Linked DNA regions of Canis lupus familiaris. The protein of the gene in region 1 binds, or shares a complex with, the protein of each later gene. Links are inferred from orthologs where the notes say so. Each region holds a gene or a part of one and is shown in the gene's direction. Other genes may lie near its edges.

Region 1 (4,030 bases):
CCAACTGGGCCACCCAGGCGTCCCTCAAACAGATTTGTCTGTATTATCCAAGCTGGACAGGGCAGGAGATAACATGTCCTGATTTCCAGCCCACCACATCTTCCATTAGATCACTTTGCGTGTTTTATAATATCTGTAACACACAATTTAACAATCATATGATTTCTTACCTTGTTGCCTAATTGTTTTATTTATATTAGATTCCATAAGATTGGTACTGTCTTGGGGCAGCCCTGGTGGCTCAGCAGTTTAGCGCCGCCTTCAGCCCAGGGTGTGATCCTGGAGACCCCAGATCAAGTCCCACATCAGGCTCCCTGCGTGGAGCCTGCTTCTCCCTCTGCCTGTGTCTCTGCCTCTCTCTCTCTCTCTCTCTCTCTCTCTCTCTGTGTCTCTCATGAATAAATAAATAAAATATTTTTTAAAAAAGATTGGTACTGTCTTCCTTTCTCCCGGCAGGAATTGTGTCATAAATATTAACTGCCCTGAGCTTTAGTTTCCTCTTCTTTCAAGTATTTATCTCACAGGATTGATGTAAAAATTAAATCACTTGTGAAAGCATCTCATACAGTATCTGACACAAATGCTCTGGAAATATTTGTTGAATCTTAACTTTTTTCTCATCTCTTTCAACAAGTCACACAGACCTGAGTGCCTGGGCATGGCTCTATCAGGTCTTGTTGTCTATATAACAACGTTGGATGAAGAGTTTTTCATTGGGCACTTGTTGGATTTTCTCTCTTATTAGCACCCCCAAGAAGTTTGTATCAAACTAGTCCAAGTTATGAGGAAAAGTGAGAAGCAATCTACAACCCAACCCATTGTAGATTGGGTTTAGCAATCTACAATGTACTAGCATAGATTACGCTCGCACTCATACCCCTCAGTTGGTGTAGCTAAGCCTATTTTACAGATGAGAAAGTAGTCTTAGGTAAGCTGCTAGTGAACTGCAGATCTGCCAAGACTTCAACCCAGGTCTTAAGGTACATTGGCCTGGGCTCCTTCCACTCCACCAAGCCACCTTCCAAAGATCAACTGAGTGCAAGGCTGGGGTGGGAGTAGAAACCAGACCACGTACCTTGGGATTTCTTGCTCCTCTTCCCCCTTTAGCTTCAGAGCATATTTCTTTGGAATTCACAATACTTTTGTTTTGAGGATGTGCGGTCCCTTTAACGTCTGGAGTGACTTCGCATAGCCCCACCCATCTCCCCTCCCACTTCTCAGTTCCAAGCCCCACCCACTGCTTCCTGCTACCTGCCAATTAACGCTTGTAATCGGATTGGGAATTTGGCCTCTTTACCCGGCGACTAAAGGTCCGCTTGCTCTGGGGCGGATTTTCCGTTCAGTTTGTCGCGGGCCCCTCGAGGCCCTCCTCTCAGCGGTTGCCCCAAAGAAGTAGCCAAGTGTCCCGCCCCCTCGTTGCCATAACAGCAGTACACAACGCCTCCTTGAGCGTTTCCCCTCTTCCAAAACAACCTTTCCCAGTCAGAGCCAAGACCCTCTCCGGAACCTCACCTTTAGCGGAGCAGAGCCAGGGTCTGCGCCCCTCTGCGAAGGATTGGGTGGGAGGGTTGGAGACTGCGTCAGTCTGGTGCCCCAGAGGGGACAGGGAAATGGGGCTAGTTAGGGTGGGAAAGTAAAAAAGAAATGAATGGAGCATGAGTTAGGAATAGAAAGGAGGAGAGGGTTGTAGGAGGTTGGTAGGGGAACGTGGCTTAAGGAGGAGGTGGGAAGAACTGGGGAGGAGAAGGCCAAGAAGCAGGGAGGCGGAGCTACAATGAGACAGTTGGAGCCCCGCTGGAGGGCTGGAAAGGCCTGGAAAGGCGTACTGAAGGGACAGAAGTCCTTGGTGGGACATCAGAAGTGGAGGCTGGGAGTCAAAATGAGGTGTTCGCAGGGATAAGGAGAGAAACGCAGTTGGGAGGAGGTCAGGGATGATGGATGGGAAGGGTATCCCGTCAATGGAGGCAAGGGATCAGAGAGCCGAGGAGACAGACATTCTTTCTTGGGAGGGGCACTGAGCTTGATCTGTTACTCCAGAGTCGTCAGCAGAGAAGAAAGATGTCAGATGAAGACCTGGAAGATTTCGAGCCAGATCAGGATGATCTGGAAAAGGAAGATGATGAGAAGGAAACAGAGGAGTGGGAGGACTACAAGAAGGAGGGAGAGGAGTACTCAGAGGAAGTGAGAGCATGAAATCCTGGAATTGGTGGGGTCCTAAGGCTAAGGGATGGGGTTGGGCTGGAAGGGGATGCCTGATTCCACTTCCTCTTGCAGTGGATGCCCACGCCACTCACAGAGGACATGTTGAAGGAAGGGCTTTCTTTGCTCTGTAAGACAGGCAATGGACTGGCTCATGCTTATGTCAAGCTGGAGGTTAAAGAGAGGTGCGCTTATGGAGGACCAGGCTGCCGTCGTAGGGCCCAATCTCCTTTCTCACCCTCATTCCTGGGTGTTGCTGCTGGGAGTTTGGATCTCTCTTACTCTGGCCAGTGGAAGGGAAGGATAGAATTTGCTTTTCCAGAGCCCTGTGACTCCCCACATTAGAGCTAGCCTGGGGAATTCCTACTGGACTCCTTCAATTGTCCATCAGAATGTCAGTTCTCGGCTCTTTGCAGACATATGCCCCTGATCACTGTTAAGAACCCACCTATCTTCTCTCCTCCTCCCTCACCACTCCCATCAGTCACCCATTCTTCTCCATCTCCACATTGTCCTCTGCTTTAGCACCTCTGCTCCTTACTGGGTACTTAACCCTAACTCTGGCCTCCTTCATCTCTTAGGGACCTGACAGACATCTACTTGTTGCGTTCCTACATCCATCTGCGCTATGTGGATGTTTCTGAGAACCACCTGACAGACTTGTCGCCACTCAATTACCTTACCCACCTGCTCTGGCTCAAGGCTGATGGCAACAATCTGCGGAGTGCCCAGCTGAATGAACTGCCCTACCTGCAGGTTGCCAGTTTTGCCCATAACCAGATCACTGACACTGAGGGCATCTCTCACCCTCGTCTGGGCAGCCTGGATCTCAAAGGTAGGTCCTTAAGTTGGGCTACACAAGGTTCTCTCCTTCCTAGCTTGGGGCCAACAGAAGTGGGCAGTGTGGTCTTTGGCTGTGCCACACAGCAATTTCCATCCATCCATCCATTCATTCAGACAGTCCTTATGCTCCATTATGACATTTCTATGTGCTGGAGATGTAGCAGTGAACAAACAAAATCCCTAGTCTCATACAGCTTCCATTCTAGTCAGGGGGAGACAGACAACTATCAGTAAACGTAATAACTAAGTAAATCTATAGAGTATGTTAAGAGGAGATATGTGTGGTGGAAAATAGATTAGGATAAAGGGACTAGAGATAGGCACAGGTAGCAACTGCAAACAGGTTGGTTAGGACAAGGGTCATTGAAAAGCTGACATCTGAGCCAAGATTTGAGGGAGGAGGAGTGCCCCAGGGCCCCAGAGGTGTTAAGTCTGGAGCTGTCCCTCCTCATAGCCACCTCATATGGGAGGGAGAGGATGATGCAGAGGCTCCCAACATTCAGGCTCTGCTGCTGAACATTTGAAGCGGTCCTCTGAGTTCTTAACACTCTCCTGCTCCTTAGGGAACCGCATCCGCAGGGTGACAGGTCTGGACCCCCAGAAGCTGCTCAGCCTGCACACACTGGAGCTTCGGGGGAACCAGCTGGAGAGCACTCTGGGAATCAATCTTCCTAAGCTGAAGAACCTCTACCTGGTAGCTCGCTGGGTTAGAGGGTGGTTGGTGTAGGGAAAAGGGTGGTGTTCTGGGGGCCAGGATGCCTGGCTTCTAGTAGGCTCTACTAACACCATCATCATCACGATCATTTGGTTCATTTATCATTATCATTTATTGAGCACTCACTTGGTGCCAGATGCTGTGGGGATGCAAAATTAAAACAGACAAGATCCTTACTACCTAGCAGGGCTGCTAATGCATAATACATGAGAATAGAGACAATTTGTTTTGACACAGGTTGTAGCATAATTTGCCATAACCCAGGTACAGATA
Region 2 (3,565 bases), on another chromosome or scaffold:
TTCCTCGAAGGTTGAATTTTTTTGTTTACTTTTTTGTCCTTGGAGATTCATGGACTTTTGGGGTTTTTTGTTTGTTTGTTTTTATTTTTGAGGTAGAGTATTATGATATTATGGGTATTATGATTTTCTAAAACTACCCTCGTGGCTTGGGAGGAACATCTGGGTCACAAAGATTATGACTCTGGAATCAAGAGTTGGGTACGAATCCCATGTTCACCACGTTGACCTACGCCCCTTACGCCTGGGCTTCCTCACCCGCACAGTGGGCTGATGACACTGATTTTTGGCCCCTGTTGTGAGGATTGAGTGAGACATGCCCTGCTTGGCACATGGCCGTCTCACAGTCATGACGGTACCCTTTTTTCTGACTTTTTTTTTCATCTTTTTTTGTTTAGTTCCTTTATCATTTATTTCTGCTCTAACCTTTGTTACTTTCTTCCCTTTGCTGGTTGGGGGTTATGTTTGTTGTTCATTTCTGAATCTCAACCTTGAGATCCTACAGGATTTTGAAAGTGCTTCTTAGTAGTGGTAATTGTTGTGACATCGGTGGAGTCCTTTTGGAAATTGTTAGGTGTTTCACCAAGCCAGCTTGCTAGTGTCATCCTTGGTGGGAGGTGCCCATGACAGGATGCAGTGCTCCGTTGGCCTCACTGGACTCTGCTTTTAGTGTGACTTACTGAACATTTCCTGCATTAATGCAAAAACATTTACCTTTTTGAAATCAGGGGGGAGAAATGGAGTCGACATATCTGCAAAAGCACCTTGGGACATGTCTAACTCAAGGTCTTGCAGAAGTGGCAAGAATTCGCCCAGTGGATCCAATAGAATATTTAGCATTGTGGATTTATAAATATAAGGAAAATGTGACCATGGAGCAACTGGTAAGTAGGGATCTTCTTTTAGAAAATTAGAAGAATAAGATAACTGGTCCAGTTTGTCTACTTTTTTAATAAAAAGTTCAATGTTATTTCTGTTATAAAAATAGTAAGTATGTTTATTATAGAAGAAACTTGGACAATATGAAAAAAAAAACAGAAAGAATAAAAAATACCCCAGAGAAGATTTCTTTTTAGATTTTTAGGTATTTTCTTCTAGTCTTTTTTCTGTACATTTCCTATGCACTTGTAGATTTTGTTTTTTACATAATTATGATCATACCCAATGTATAATTGTAATTTTATGCTCTTTGTTCAAATAAAACACATATCTCCCCAAATTATTGCACCTTTTCTAAATGGTTGAATAAAATTTGCTTCCCCTTTTCCCTGTCATTGGTGATTAACACTCTTTCAAGATTGTTTTTACAAATTATTCTGCCTCAAATTAGTCATGTGGTAATTGCTTTTAAAACCCTGCTAGAGACAGAAGGAAATGGCTAACTTGGAGCGGGAAAGAGAACTAGCTGAGATTGAGCAGGAGATGATGGAGAGGCTCAAAGCCGAAGAACTCCTGTTTCAGCAGGTGAGACATGCATGGGAGTTTGGGGGACACTGGAGTGAGCTTTGTCAGCCTCAGTGTGGTGCAACCCAAATACTGAAAACCTCCCCATCTCTAATTAGTTAGCAGTGGCTCTCTTCTATCTTCGTGTTCCTGTGTTTCTGTATCTGTGTCTTCTTTGCCGGAGAAGCAGCAGCAGTGGAGTGGGAGGAAAACCCAGGGAGTGTGCTCTCATGAAGGTCAAGGGGAGAGACCCAAGGGGTCAGCCATGCCTACTGTTGGTTGAGTGAGAGCAAGACTGCAAAGTGCTCATTCAAGACCATGGTGTGTGGGGGGTGGGATGTAACAGGGAAGATGGTGAGTTTAGGTGATGCTTTCAAGGGGATTTTTCAGAGAAGGAGGTTGGGTTTTTTTAAGAGCAGAGGGGCAGGAGGGGGTTGATGTTAAGAGGGAGAGGATGGTCTAGGTACATGTGGGTGTATAGGTTTTATGGCACGAAGTTTAAAACAGTTTCTTCATGACTCTTTCTTCTTTATGAAGTAGGGATGATGATCATCTTCCAAGAATGAGGCGATAAAATGGCAGGTGCGGGGAGAGTGGTGATGGTTTTGAAATAGTAGCTTTGTAGAATGGTAGCATTGACTGGGAAACTTAGCATTACCTGGTAGCATTGAGTACCCTGTCAGAGTTAGAAACCAGGCATATATTTTCTTAAAGATTATTTATTTATTTACTCATGAGACACGCAGAGAGAGGCAGAGACACAGGCAGAGGGAGAAGCAGGATCCCTGCAGGGGAGCCCGATGTGGGACTTGATCCCAGGACCCCGGGATCATGCCCTGAGTCAAAGGCAGACGCTCAACTGCTGAGCACCCCAGGCGCCCCGAGACCAGGCATTTATAATGTTGCCAGCTAGTTTGGTTTTATGATCCTGTAATTTTTCTTCACTTAGGCCTGAAGGCCTGAGTGATGATGTGCAAGGGGCAGCGCCTGTGACTGACGTGGGTTTAGGGTAGCACGTTGGGGAGCTGAAGGTGCTGGGAAGAGAATGGTTTCAGGGATGAGTCATGGATTGTAAACTAGACAGGGAAGGTTCCAGAGTGGCTTTTGGACTAATTTAATTTATGGACAGCTTCTGAACTAGATCTAAGTTATTCCTATTGTTCTGCCACACGGTCCTTAACTCCAGGGTCTCGACTCCAGTCTAGAAGCCTGTTGTTTGGGTGTGTGAATAGAAAGGAAACTATAGACGTGGCGAATAGCTTCTCTGCCTAACCTGTCACCTCTGCTACTGGGATAGAACATTCTAGGCACCCGAGACAGATAAGGCTATTGAAAACTTCACTGCTCCTGAATCTTCATTTTTCAATCGTTTGGTTTATTCTTATTTTTTTTTAATCTTTTTTTATTTTTTTTAATTTATGATAGAGAGAGAGAGAGAGAGAGAGAGAGAGAGAGAGGCAGAGACATAGGCAGAGGGAGAAGCAGGCTCCATGCACCGGGAGCCGGACGTGGGATTCGATCCTGGGTCTCCAGGATCGCGCCCTGGGCCAAAGGCAGGCGCCAAACCGCTGCGCCACCCAGGAATCCCTGGTTTATTCTTATGTGGAAGTTGCAGAGCGTGGAGCCAGATATCAAACAATCATCCAAATGGGCAAACATTCTGCTGCAGAATTGCCCCAACTTTGAGTGAGAATCTGCTCTTCCTCTTTCAGCTTCTACAACTAGTATCTGTCCCCTGTCTCTCAGACTGAGGAGAACATCTTCCTCAAGACAATTCCATCACAAATGTGGGGGTACTTAACTTTCTTTGGCTCTTCTACTTACCTTACTTAGCGAAAATTTGGCAATCCTAGAAATCAAGCACTTCTCTAGCTGTATCCTATTGATGGGTGTGAAGGGATCCACTGTACACTGAACCCTGAGCATTGTGTTGGGATTGGAAGATAACAAGAACGTTCTGCAGAAGATTTTATGACCGTTAAAGAAACAGCTTGGTGGCCAGAAATAGACGGGAGAAGGAAAGGGAGCCTGTGCAGAGAAGGTCTACAGGAGAAGAGCTTAAGAGAGAGTGAGGCCGAGATGCACAGAAACAGAGAGACGCTCTGAAGTCACCGTTGAGTCAAGT

What was found. Proteins that work in one complex are often made in the same cells at the same time.
Region 2: LRRC23 (region 1) and DYDC1 share a complex: the UniProt entries of both Homo sapiens proteins name them as parts of the axonemal radial spoke complex. The link is inferred for Canis lupus familiaris from reciprocal best matches to the Homo sapiens genes LRRC23 and DYDC1.

Annotation. Positions count from the first base shown.
Region 1 is NC_049248.1:7,958,897-7,962,926, forward strand, and holds the start of LRRC23 (leucine-rich repeat-containing protein 23), read left to right. Parts: upstream 1-1,173; 5' UTR 1,174-1,310; intron 1,311-1,320; exon of another isoform or gene 1,321-1,533; intron 1,534-2,037; 5' UTR 2,038-2,058; coding exon 2,059-2,181; intron 2,182-2,274; coding exon 2,275-2,384; intron 2,385-2,780; coding exon 2,781-3,034; intron 3,035-3,605; coding exon 3,606-3,736; intron 3,737-4,030. UniProt on the Homo sapiens protein: Essential for sperm motility and male fertility. Plays an important role in the proper assembly of the third radial spoke (RS3) head and the bridge structure between RS2 and RS3 in the sperm flagella.
Region 2 is NC_049225.1:30,227,800-30,231,364, reverse strand, and holds part of DYDC1 (DPY30 domain-containing protein 1), read left to right. Parts: intron 1-725; 5' UTR 726-734; coding exon 735-881; intron 882-1,359; coding exon 1,360-1,461; intron 1,462-3,565. UniProt on the Homo sapiens protein: Functions as part of axonemal radial spoke complexes that play an important part in the motility of sperm and cilia. Plays a crucial role during acrosome biogenesis.